Neodiprion lecontei: one gene and its partner. The protein of the gene in region 2 purifies or fractionates together with the protein of the main gene of each other region. This does not show direct contact. Links are inferred from orthologs where the notes say so. Each region holds a gene or a part of one and is shown on either strand. Other genes may lie near its edges.

Region 1 (7,657 bases), on a different chromosome or scaffold from region 2:
AGAAGTTTATAGTATTCTTGGGATTTTTAATACAGTTTTATCGCAGCCCGAAATCGAGGATGAAATAAAAATAACGATTTCAATGTTTTCAGCGATTTGTTTTTACTTCATTTAATAAAGAAAAATCATAGAATTACATACAAATTCGAATCTAAGAAATTGAAAACTGCTATTGCATCAGCTGTAAAGCGTCCATTGCTTCTACCAGCCGTTCCAATTCGCCTTTGCTACTGGTTAACTTTTCCGTGTTTGCTAATTGGACATCCGCAGGAACTTTAGTGGAATAATCAACTGCCGACATAGCCTGTTCCAGCTTATTTATACTCTCTGTAAGTATTCCTTTCTTTTTACCAAGTTTTTCAAATTCCTTTTTCGGATCAACCAATCCCTAAAATCACAAATTACAATGAATGTTATAGTTTTCAACATATGATTAACTTACGATATGGGTACAGTGATTTTCATATTATTTTTTTCACCTTAAGTAATAAGTGAACTTGGATCTTGTCTGTCACGGGGATGATAACGCATCCGGCTGGAGCATTGTCGAGATAAATTATTGAGTAAGCAAGTGTCCCAATCAACAAAGAGTACGTTTTGACTTTTTCTTTGATACTGTCTTCCGTAGATGTGACAAATGCGTCAGTTTTAGTCTTGTTCGGTAAATTATATGTAGCTCGTGCGGATCTTATGGATTTAATAATTTTCTGAGCAACGTCAACATCCGCTTCTATGCCTTGATCCCTCCAAGGACACTAATGGAACAGAAAAATATACTTTCAATATTGAATCACCGTCGCTGCATTGAACAAAAATTCTCAAAAAAAAAATATCGTCATTCACCTCACGTTCTTCTGGATACGGAGCCACGCAAATACTTGGATAAATTAATTTTTTACGTGGTAAACGTTGGTAAAGTTCCTCCGTTATGAAGGGCATGAATGGACTGAGTAAACGCAATCCTATGTCCAAGCTTTTGAACAACACTTTTTGAGCTGTTGACTTAGTCTCTTTATTTCCACCTTGGAAAACAGGCTTCAGATATTCCTGAAAAATGAAAGTAAGTGACGGTTATATACTGTTCCACTGTTTAGAGCAAGTGATTGAAAAAAATAAGAAATTGGTTGACATATGTTATTCAATTCTGACCAGATAAACGTCGCACAAATCGTACAGCCAGAGATTGTAACAGGCTGTAGTTGCAGCTGTAAGATCATACTGAGCTATTCCCTCGTCACAAACTTTCGCCGCATAACTCAACCTTGAAAGCATCCACAAGTCTACTTCTGTTTCATTTCCAGAGAGCTGTAAGATTTTCACTACAAGTTTATACACCTGTTTATTTTTTAATTTCAACAATAACAAAACACAATTTATAAGAACGAAAACCCAACATGCTGAAATGGTAATGTACACTGCTGAGAAAAATGACAAAATTGTACTTATTTTCAGTAGAAAATAATCTAGAATATTACAAAAAATAAATGTTACAATAATTTTTAGAACGAAACTCAAACTGCATCCCAAGCTGGAAATATTTTGAATACTAAACATACTACAAACAATAATTGAGTAAACGCTATTGTCACAGCGTACCTGATATCCCTTTTTACGACTACTGCTAACGTTACTTTTAGTCTGTTGATAAACTTCTCCGTCTTCTGGGTGAAAACTGGATCTTTCATGTGTACTATAGCTTTTGATGTGGTTAAACCATCGTAAAAGATGTGGTCTATGCGAAAAATCAATACGCAGGCACTTCAACGTTTCATGAACCTTAACATCAGCCTGGGAAGGCGTGTATCCATTTATGTACGAATAATCTGCCAAGAAGTTATTTAGCGCGTCTTGAACACAATTTTCGTTTAGTGTGTGCTGGTACCATTTATAATCGCCAACGACATCCTCCGCGCTCGAAATCGCGCAGCGTTTCTAACGTGACATTTGCAATAAAATTTTCAAATACAAATTTTCCGCATTGATGTTTAATTGCGTTTAAAAACGTTTCATTCTCTTTCCTCACCTCATCACTTTCAGCGTCGAATTCGAATCCATCTCCTAAGTACATCAGGGCGAACTTTGTCGCATTCCAAAGCTTATTGCAGAAAAATCTGTAACCCTGAACTCGCAAAATATCGAGATTGATGTCACGTCCTTGAGTTGTGTAAGCGCACAGCGCAAATCTCAATGCGTCTGTTCCGCATTCCGGAATTCCCTGAGGATAATCCTGCTTCTGTCCTTCTGTGGCTTTTTTAAGTTCTTTCGGATCCAAATTCGAATCCAACAATTGTTTGTGGAGATCCTGAAATAATATCTCAGTTTAATAAACATTGAAACGGTGCCAGGAAATTTTTCATACTCACCTCTAGAGATATTCCGTGTATCACGTCCATCGGGTCAATGACATTTCCCAAAGATTTACTCATTTTTCTTCCATGTGCGTCTCTCACCATAGCATGTAAGAAGACTTCCCTGTTATAAGTAAAGAAAAATAGTATTTCTGTGGTGTTACGAGTCAAATTTTTACTAGTTAAGTTCATAAAAAGGTAAAAATTGAGAAGCGAAATTTTCACAAATTATACGCAGGACTTACTTAAATGGTAATTTACCCAGGAGCTTTCGACCAAGGAAAACCATTCTTGCTACCCAAAAGAAGAGTATATCATGTCCTGTCTCCAACAAAGTTCCAGGATAGAAAGCTTTCAATTCCTCGGACTAAAACCAGATTTGCACGAGATAAGGCAATGTGATAAGTTTGAACTAAATGGCTATGTGTATTCACATACTTCTTCTGGCCAGCCAAAGATAGAGAATGGAAAGAGACCGGAAGAAAACCAAGTATCTAAGACATCAGGATCCTGTTCCAGCTTAATATTATCAATGCTGACATTGAACCGGTTTGCAGCTTTTTCTTTCGCCTCTGCCTCTGTTCTTCCGCTCACCCAATAATTGTTGTCATTTTCCTGAAATAGTTTGTGCCATTCGAAATGGACTTCTCATTGTATACGTGAGACAAATTCGATCTTATTATAACTTCAGAAATTACGTTAAAAATGATGACTTACAGTTCCAGCTGGAACAGCTGAGTCCAAAATGGATACAAAATATGCTGGGATTCGATGACCCCACCAAAGCTGACGAGAAATACACCAATCTCTGATACCCTCCAACCAATGATTCCAAGTTCTTTTATGCTGCTCTGGAATAATCTTTAACTCTCCATTTTCAACAACCTTGATAGCATCAGCAGCCATTTCATCACACTTGACGTACCTATAATTGCAAGATATAATTTCGTGTATCAAGCTTCTCTTAAAGAGTGAAGAAATGTCATCAAATGTAGACAGGATTTACCAACCACTGCGGTTTCATTAGTGGTTCAACGACGTCCTTGGATCGACTACAAATTGGTACAACCATTGCATTGTCTTTGGTCTCAATATATAATCCTCTTTCCGTCAATTGTTGCAGAATAGCCTTTCGCGCATCGAATCTTTTCATACCCTGAAATGATAGAAGCATGCACTAATCTCTCAACACTTCAACTATCATATAATTAATTTTAGTTTATTTGAATTGAGGATGATAAGTACCGTGAATTTGCCATAGTTTCCGATGATATTTCCCGCGTCATCAAAAATTGTTATAAATGGCAAGTCGTGCCTCTTTCCAACTTCATAATCATTAGGGTCATGCGCAGGTGTTATTTTCACAGCGCCTAATTAATGCAACGAGAATTAAGCCAAGATGTTCTCTTTCAAAGTAGCAAAGATGATAATTTACCTGTTCCAAATTCCATTTCCACAAAATCGTCAGTTATGATCGGTATCTTTCTATCGCAGAAAGGATGTTTCACGTATTTACCAATCAGGTGAGAATAACGAGCATCCTTGGGGTGTACTGCGACCGCAACATCTCCAAGCATTGTTTCAATACGAGTTGTAGCAACCACAACCTTTTCATTTGAGTCTTCTATTTCGTATGCAAATGATACGAGAACACCAAACTCAACTTTCTCTTTGTAGCCAGGAATAGCGAGAAAAGTTCTGCCAGGTAGCTCCATTTTGTCCACCTTGGAACGACAATGATCAGTTTATTTATTACCATTGAGATGTAATGAGACAGGAAATAGGAACAATTGTTACCTCAATATCGGAAATTGCACTTTTCAACGTACAAGACCAATTCACAAGACGATTACTCCTGTAAATATCCCCTGACTCATGCAGACGTACGAAAGCTTCGGTAACAGCGCGGCAGAGTTTTGGATCCATTGTGAAACAAGCGCGATCCCAATCAAAGGAGCTCCCGAGTTTACGAAGTTGCTCATAGATTCGATCTCCTTTTCTGCAGATTTGTAGAAAATTATAAAATTAACACCTAGATACATCGTACCAAAAACCAGGTCATGTTGCACTCACTCATTTTTCCACTCCCAAACTTTTTCCACAAATTTTTCCCTCCCGATGTCATGACGTGTCTTTTGTTCGTTCCTCCATAATTTCTTTTCAACTACCACTTGAGTCGCTATTCCAGCATGATCACAACCCGGATTCCAAAGTGTCGTTCGCCCCTTCATACGATTCCTGAAGTTCGAATGGTAAATCAACTATGTTACAAGGAGGAAGGAAAAATGATTTGAACAACTAAAAAATATATTATAATAGAAACTATCGACTTACCATCGGGTAATTACATCCTCGATCGCATTTGTCAGTGCATGTCCAAGATGTAAGGAACCAGTGACATTAGGTGGTGGAATAACCATGACAAATGTGCCTTTGGGATTTGTTTCGTTGATGCTTTTACGCTGGAAACGTGGTATACGATGAATGTGAATTGAATTCCTCTGCGTACGATGTCAGACACAACAAATTTATCACTGAAGGACTTTAACCAAACTTACTCCATATTCGGGTTTGAAGAAACCCTCGTTTCTCCACCAGGAATACCACGCTGCCTCGACAAAACGAGGGCTGTAGGCATCAGGCATCGGACAATTGACATCCTTCTTTTCCCCCTCTAGAGTGTTTATGGTATATAATACTGCTTGCTTGCTTTCCAGCTTTTTTTCAACCTTCTGCAAAACGTGTATACCTTAATGAATTTTTTTGTTTTCATGTAAAACCAAGGCGATCCAAGTATGTGAATGCGACAGGAAACCATATGGATTATGGAAACGTCATTGTTGCAGTTAACAATCAGGCAGAATTAAATAAAGTGAATGCGAAAATTACCTCAGGTTTTTCTTTGGGCTTAGTTGAAGCAGTGGTTTCTTTTTTATCTAGTTTTTGTTTGAACTTCTCCAATTTAGCCAACTTCTTAGCCTCTTTCTCAAGCTGTTTCGCTGTCTTTGGTTTCGCAGCCTCTCCCTCGGCTCCGTTTGCTGCCGTTTCAACCATTTTTATTGCAAATTATTCAAAACAAATAAATAATTCTCAGTTTACGGTATCGCGTGTTATTCGCTGCCTCGCTGAAAATCCCCGAAAATGTCAATATTGAAAACTTAACCAATTACTCCGCGTGGCCTGCACGCTGTCTAGCTGATGTGAGAACAGAAAGGATTGCAAAAGCTGCAGGCGCAATGTTATGTGATTCGCTGTTTCGACGGAATCCATTATCAAGCGAGTTTCAAAAATGGGACAATTATTTGATTCTTCGCTAGCTAGGCCGAGTCGCACTGTGTTGTGTAATGTAATTCTTTAGAAATGAGAGTTTATACAGTTCCGTCTGAATATAGAAAGAAGAAAATAATTATATCCATCAGTAGAGTAACAAGGTGCACTGAAAATAATGCATAGGTTTGAGGTTATTTCGAGAATAGCTTATAAGCTTGAAATATAATTTTTTCCAAATCCTTAAATAATTTTGCAGCGTCAAAGACAACTTAGATCGCACAAATTTATGAACCGAAGCTTTTTAATTTTGTACAGTACTTATCGGCCCGTCATTCAGACGAATCAATGTAAAGAACCTTTGAAATTCGCAACCAATTGTATGAACTGTACATTATGTGACCTGCCTGTATAATAGTGTTTTTCGATACTAGTGCGCGAAGGTGGCAATGCCCGCACAAGCATGAAGGCGCAGCACGAGCCTGGAGACGAGTTGAAGGGCGAGTGTGGCGCATTCACGCGAGATAGGCATTGCCAACTTTCGCACGTGTATCGAACTCTATTTTTTGCTACACCTGTAATGGAAAGTCCGACATACACGATTATTTTTACACGAAACCACGGCACGATGTCTGTTTAGTGACGATGCAGCGATGTCGAGCACGGCAAAGAGTGACAAACTATTCCATCGGTAGGGCTAGTGGAGCTGTTTGCGAAATACGCAACTGTGGATAAAAGCGCGACGGTCTTTTTCGCACACCGCTAGCAATGTGCGAAGGTTCATCTTATACCGCCGGCAATGTGCGAAGGTTTTTTTCTCACACCCCTAGTAATGCGCGAAAGTTTTTCCCGCACATGTGTATAAAAGACTACTTTCGGTGCTTGTAAATGGTGCATAAAAATGGACTTTCCACGCAGGTGTTGCAAAAAATTAATTGTAAGATTAGCAAGTGCATATGTGTTCCGTGCAATCGTTGCGGTATATCTCGAGATTCGGTATTCTGTTCAGTAAACTGTAGGTCCTCGAATGCAGTTTTCGGTTTAACTGGTGTACGTGTATTTGAATTGAAAGTTTAAAAGAAAGATTTTGGGAAAATATGAGGGATCTACGTTATGTGGAAGATCGTGCTCATTTGATTTTTCATGTTTTTTTCAATTTATTTTTTTTGAATTTGTGAAGAATCACGTCGTAGGACTTCGATTCTTATTTCTTTCCTAAAACTTATATTCAACTCAAAGATCACGATCCATAACACAACGATATATCAACCGGGAATCTTATTCTTCTAAATCAAAAGTTCATAATATTAAATTATAACTATTTTATGAGGTTTACAGATCCTGTACCTAGTGAAACTTGACTTCCAGGTCTAGAGGTCCTTGATCCGGTGAAATTTGACTTCCAGGACGACCGCTCCGTAGTTTCGGCTGTTCAAATCTTTTACCTAGTGAAACTTGACTTCCAGGACTAGCGCTATGTAGTTCCTGTGCTCCAGGTTCTTTACCTGCTGGATCTTGACTTTCATCACTCGCGCTCAGCTGTAGGATCACCTGGTAGATACAGTTTTCTATTGATACTGATTCAATTATGAAATCCTACATCGGCTAATTCCGTAAGGTTGTATCTGCCAAAAATTCGATAATACAATAACTCGCAGTATGTATGATACATGGTAAGTAATGTATAATAATTAATGTGTTCCTCAATAAGTCTTGTAACAATATTTTTGTAGTTGAAGCTTACGACGTTGGAGATTTTGAAAATATTACGTCCCTTCAGAAATCCTATTTTTTTAGAAAGGATAGAGAAAGTATGTTAGCGATGTATACATGTTGGTGTGTAGTACATAAATGAAATAGTAATTAGTAATCCTTGTACATACATGAGATATATAATTTATAATTAGTTCGTCTGTCCATTATAACTCATATTCATTCGAAATTGCCGGCGATGGTCTTACAATTAGTTGATATCCAAACAGCCGTGGAGCAGTACGTACGTATACGGCAAGATTGCGGGAACGTTTATTTAGCGAGTTTAA
Region 2 (5,964 bases):
TTAGCAAAATTAGGCTAAAATAATAAGAATAAGTACATTTAAATATAAATAAAATTATGCATCGTGATTCTCGCGTTGAGAAAAATAAAATCATTAATTGCGACACAACGTACAAAGTTTAGTTAAAAAAAAAAAAAAAATTCAAAATAATAACATTATTTTCTCGAATATCGCACGATATAAGATTTTATTTCCGTAAATAATTAGATAGAAAATATAATTAAGCCGAGCTAAATAATTAATAAGTTTTTCGTTTCTAGTTTTGTTTGTTGTGAAAACAGGAGGAGGGGTGAAGTTTCTGTTGCTATATAGTATTATTAATAATAATAATAATAGTTATTATAGGTAGTAAATAATTACGTTATGCAAGTCGGAATAATAAAGTTGCCAATGAGACGGTTTTTTTTCATCAACTATTTCGAGAAGTTTGACAATATTTGTTTTTCTTGTCATTAAAATTCAATGATATTGTTGTTTGTAATATTTCACGTGGTGGTAGAAGATATATCGTCGTCGTCGTTGCTGCTTGATTAAATTAAAATCTTTTTTTTTTATTTTCAATTTTCACCGTACCAATGTAATCAATCATTCAATTAACCAGATGGTTTCTCGTTACAAATAAAAATAAAAACAAAGAAAAAGAAAAGAAACACAAATTTAATCAGCACTTGTAGTTTGTTCAATTAGTTACCTTGTTGTTATGTTTTTTGCTGATAGTAATTCATGTTGCTCGGTTGCCATCTTTAAAAAGTTATTATTACATTATTACAATAGGTAATATTTTTTCCTGCGAAATTCCTTGCGGTGGAAACAACAGTGCTGCTGTATCAGCCATTCGGATTTAGATAGTAAAAGAAATAATAAACAACGTTTCGTGAATAATAAGCATGGCGCGACGTCAGTCCTCCGTGTCATAATAATCATAATAATGGATATCATAATCTCAGCAACGTTAACTACCATGAGGGTAGCAGAAGCAGCAGCGGCAGTAGCCGACTTATTACTATCGCAATAATAATAATAATAATCAATTAATTGAGACACGGGACAGGGAGGCAGCGGCGGCGCCACCTCACGGTGGTCATCCGTTATAGTAGCTAGTTATTTCTTCTTCTGTGCCTTCTCGGCGGCCTTGGTGACTTTGCCTGTGGCATCCTTGAAGCTGACTGCCTTGATAACACCGACAGCGACAGTCTGACGCATGTCACGCACAGCGAAGCGCCCCAATGGCGGGAATTCTTGGAAGGCTTCGACGCACATCGGCTTGCTCGGCACCAGAGTCACGATGGCCGCGTCTCCCGACTTTATCGCCTTTGGATTCTCCTCAGTCGTTTTACCCGTACGTCGGTCGCATTTCTCCTTAATCTCGGCGAACTTGCACGCTATATGTGCCGTGTGACAGTCCAACACTGGCGTATAACCGTTGCTGATCTGACCGGGGTGGTTCAACACGATTACCTGCAATACGTAATAAGCAAGAATTAGTTATCAATGAAAATAATTTTGTTCATATAGTTTACTGCGATAAATTGCTAACTTGAAGATATTTTTCGTAAATTTACATAATCGAAACCACGAAAAATCGGAAATACAAAATTCAATTGCAGTTGTAATGATTTAAGAAAACGGCTTCTAGTTATTCCATGAATTTTGATGATAATAGTCCAACGAACTTTAATGACCACTGTATCAATCAAATATGAAAAGAATTACAACTCTGCTGAATTTCAGATAGCAAAGAGAAACTTAGTACTTATGGTGAAAAATAAAGTTTCGGTAACTTTTCAGAATGACTAATGAATATTTAATTACCTACTATACACGGTTTCAATTTAATAAAAATCAAGGACACTGTTAATATTAGAAGAGCGTAATTTTCAAGACACTCAGACGCTTCAGCCATCAACAGACCCACAAGTCTTCTGGTGGAAACCGCGAATGAAGATTAAAGCGTCTCATCATAGTGTCGAATAATTCACAAACGAAAAGTACATGAATTAACATATAACAATTTTTATCGAAATTTAATGAATCTGCGGTTACCTGAGCGGTGAAATCGGCGGCGCCCTTGGGCGGATTGTTCTTAGAGTCACCGGCAACGTATCCACGACGAAGTTCCTTGACGGAAACGTTCTTTACGTTGAAACCAACGTTGTCGCCGGGTACGGCTTCAGTCAAAGCCTCGTGGTGCATCTCGACGGATTTTACTTCAGTCGTGAGACCTGCTGGAGCAAAGGTTACGACGGTACCTGGCTTCAGAACTCCAGTTTCTACACGGCCTACGGGCACCGTTCCAATACCTCCAATCTTGTAAACGTCCTGCAAACAAATTCAACAAGCATCAGTTAACCTTCAGTAATGGAAAATGGAGCGAAATATACATTGAAATTTCACCTTCAATTCTTTTGAAAAACGAATTAAAATGACGATCAATAGAATATAATAAACATGTTGGAACATAGAAAATATGTTTGAGTTTAAATTATTCTATTTTGTAAGATTTTTTAATTGTTGGAAAATTTATCTCAATAATTTCGAATGTAAGTATGTGATCCAATTTAATGATTGATAGACTTTTTAACGACTGCATGGTCTACTAAAATTTAACGCATTGAAGGCTACGTATTACAAATGAAATGTCGCAGTTTTCATTCAAAAATATATTACGTCAATTTTTCCAGGATAAGTCAAAATATCTCAGAACTTTTCTAGGACTTCAGGGACATTTTTTGGTTTTCCAGAATAATTGTAGAATTTAAGGACACTTAAGGAGCAGTAGATGTCCTGTAAATATATAAACCCAGGAACAGTTAGGAAGACCTTCTTTTTACAAAACTTTTGACAATGGTTGAAATTTCTCTGCCAGAGTTTCTTGATCAAAATAGTTATTTTTCAATTTTGAATGGACGGAATGAAGCGAATGGACAAAATTTACCTGCAGGGGAAGACGCAGAGCCTTATCGGTAGGTCTGCTGGGTGGGAGGATGGCATCGAGTGCCTCAATGAGACACTTTCCATCAGCTTTGCCTTCCTTGCGTTCGACGGCCCATCCCTTGAACCATGGCATCTTGCTCGAGGGCTCGAGCATGTTGTCTCCGTGCCATCCTGAGATGGGAACGAAAGCGACAGCAGCTGGGGTGTAACCAATCTTCTTGATATAGGAGGAAACTTCCTTCTTAATTTCCTCGAAACGAGCCTCCGAGTATGGCGGCTCAGTGGAGTCCATTTTATTGACACCAACGATGAGCTGCTTGACGCCGAGGGTGAAGGCAAGTAGTGCGTGCTCACGGGTCTGACCGTTCTTGGAAATACCAGCTTCGAATTCTCCCGTACCAGCAGCCACAATCAACACTGCACAGTCGGCCTGAGACGTACCAGTGATCATGTTCTTAATGAAATCTCTGTGTCCCGGAGCATCGATGATAGTCACATAGTACTTGGCAGTTTCAAATTTCCAAAGGGCGATATCAATCGTGATACCACGTTCACGTTCGGCTTTCAGCTTGTCCAAGACCCATGCATATTTGAAGGAACCTTTACCCATCTGCAAATAATATGAATATTAATTTTGTGCTCTCATCAGCCATTGATTCAACTTCCAGATGGTATTAATTTGACACTCAGACGCCTTCAGCCATCAATGGACTTTCTCAAGTCCTCCGGTGGAAACCGCGAATGAAGTTGTAGGGTTATCATCACTGTGCCAATCCAGATTGTTTTTATCAGTGACATCATAAGATTATAACAATATCGAATTGCTGATCAATACATATTTCAATTGGTATTCAAACTTAGATTGCTAACGAGAATTTTTTTTGCTGGGGCAAATAGTGCAGATTTTACATAATTTATGAAATATATCGATCATCAAGCAAATTAATTATCCAAAGAAAAAAATCACAATCTTTTGTACTAATTGGGTTCAAAAGTGTTCAGAAATAGATACATGCTCATTGTTTTGATGTAGATTTAAGCTTTCATTTATGGAAAAATATGTTGAGAGATATGATTAAACAAGCTTAAAGAGCTCTCCATTTAAAAATTTAAGTTACGTGTAGCTATTGAATCAGGTATAAAGATTTTCGGTATACATATCAAGAAAAAGCAAATCCAAAAAAAACAGAGTAGAAACCTCACCTCCTGAGCTTCCTTCTCAAACTTTTCGATGGTACGTTTGTCGATACCACCGCACTTGTAGATAAGGTGACCAGTGGTGGTCGATTTACCGGAATCTACGTGTCCGATGACAACGATATTGATGTGAACCTTTTCCTTTCCCATGTTTGCGTCGTTTCGTTGCTAAAGAGTTCGTCAAAAGAGCTGAAACACAGTGCAAACAAAAGAAGCCGTTAAAAAATCCGCTCTTCAACATGAACTTATACCACGTGGCCACCCCGAAAGTTATGCGTCCAGATTTCAGAAGGAAAAAGACCGACTGCTGCTTGTGCCCTGCGGGATTTACGGGATCGCGCGGCCATTTTGGAACTGTAGATGGAGGACATTTCTTCAGAGAATCACAGAGAAAGGGAAGAAAGCATTGCAGCAAAATACCGACCCGGGAACAACGCGGCGAGTCCTGCTTCCAAACAATATAACGGCAGTTCGATGAACATAGTTGGAAACTATGAGAGGATACGTCGATACGCGATTGCGTCACGTTGCAACATATGTACATATTTGATTAGGTGTATCAGACTACGCAGTGATTCGTTACGAGAGTTCGGAAAGGAAACGGGCATTGTGGTATATTTCGAAGCTCTTCACCTGGAAGGAAGATTGAATAAATGAACGAATGATGCGAAAGTGAGAAGGTTGTACAGTGACCTAAGGGAACCCGAATTGCGGTGACAACTCACCGCCATTACGTGGAGCGATGAACGAGGCAGAGAAGCCGATGAGGGCTGGATGTCACGGAAATAGAGGTCTAGGGCTCAAGGATGAGGAAGTGGGTGCGTTTAATCGGGTTCGAATTTCCCGAAGTACCGGAATTCGCCGGGTGTCTAGTACAGGGACAGTTTGAAGTCGGCATGCGGCCGAGGGTGCTAAGCAGCAGCCGGTCGGGATCGTTACATTTTTTTCACCGAAGTAGGCGATATTTCGTTAAACTACACCGAGGGCGACGTCGCCGGGAATTTAAGGTTCAGTTCTGGCCTTGATCCGAGCCTCGATGGCTGGACTTTGTTTGTGATTTCGACGGATTACTGAACGGTAACAGAGAGCACGCACGTACGACCACTCACCTCCAGATGCCACGACAGAAAGAGATCGTTGTAGGAAAGTGACATGCGCACACGGCTTCACCGACGCAGCCTCGAACCCAGCGACGGCCGACTATCGATCCCTCGCTCCTTCCGCGATCTAAATTTTTCTAAAAATTATCACCATTTGGAGTTTTTACCTTACGAAATTTACAGTGGTCTCAAATGGCCAATTGATCGACACTTTTCGCTGCAACATTCGATTCTGGAAAATTTTGAATTGGACGTTAATCTCGGCACGGCTTTGGGTTCGAGGCTTCGATTCCTTCAAACCTTCAGGTGCGTATCCGCTACCGCTGGCCTCGGGCGCATACAATCTACACCTGCATGGCTGACGTTTGGGGCCAGTGTCTTCCGGGGCGCAATCGTCGTTCCCCGTTTTTCCTTGGCAGTCTTTCGCGATTGTTATCGAGATGACACGCATGACCCGGGCTGTTTACTCCAGATTTGAGGGCCAGATCTTGATTGATCTATCTGAACTAATAGTGCAGTTTTATACTGTTCTCGTTAGTCTGGTCTGATTTTTGTAGCATAAATTAACGACGCTATTCGACTGTTCTAACGCATTTTAACAGATTTTATCCAGCTTTTCGTGAACTACGGATTTGCATTTGTTTTGTAGAATAACAGTACTTTCTTTTACTCTTCGTTGAACCGCAATACATGCCTGCGAATTCCCGGGGCTCAAGGATCGCGAGATGCGGGC

Evidence for each region. Proteins that work in one complex are often made in the same cells at the same time.
Region 1: the proteins of elongation factor 1-alpha (region 2) and valine--tRNA ligase purify together in Homo sapiens (affinity purification with mass spectrometry; 3 studies listed by BioGRID and IntAct, counting the BioPlex papers as one, with this or other methods). This does not show direct contact. The link is inferred for Neodiprion lecontei from reciprocal best matches to the Homo sapiens genes EEF1A1 and VARS1.

The regions. Positions count from the first base shown.
Region 1 is NC_060261.1:2,225,287-2,232,943, reverse strand, and holds valine--tRNA ligase, read right to left. Parts: upstream 6,042-7,657; 5' UTR 6,023-6,041; intron 5,773-6,022; exon of another isoform or gene 5,474-5,772; 5' UTR 5,403-5,473; coding exon 5,238-5,402; intron 5,081-5,237; coding exon 4,907-5,080; intron 4,811-4,906; coding exon 4,683-4,810; intron 4,587-4,682; coding exon 4,422-4,586; intron 4,348-4,421; coding exon 4,146-4,347; intron 4,073-4,145; coding exon 3,784-4,072; intron 3,719-3,783; coding exon 3,594-3,718; intron 3,505-3,593; coding exon 3,359-3,504; intron 3,274-3,358; coding exon 3,066-3,273; intron 2,964-3,065; coding exon 2,787-2,963; intron 2,716-2,786; coding exon 2,594-2,715; intron 2,473-2,593; coding exon 2,364-2,472; intron 2,303-2,363; coding exon 2,024-2,302; intron 1,933-2,023; coding exon 1,597-1,932; intron 1,306-1,596; coding exon 1,150-1,305; intron 1,048-1,149; coding exon 844-1,047; intron 756-843; coding exon 480-755; intron 389-479; coding exon 170-388; and 2 more. UniProt on the Homo sapiens protein: Catalyzes the attachment of valine to tRNA(Val).
Region 2 is NC_060264.1:21,332,503-21,338,466, forward strand, and holds elongation factor 1-alpha, read right to left. Parts: upstream 4,321-5,964; 5' UTR 4,282-4,320; coding exon 4,138-4,281; intron 3,545-4,137; coding exon 2,936-3,544; intron 2,320-2,935; coding exon 2,044-2,319; intron 1,459-2,043; coding exon 1,102-1,458; 3' UTR 531-1,101; downstream 1-530. UniProt on the Homo sapiens protein: Translation elongation factor that catalyzes the GTP-dependent binding of aminoacyl-tRNA (aa-tRNA) to the A-site of ribosomes during the elongation phase of protein synthesis.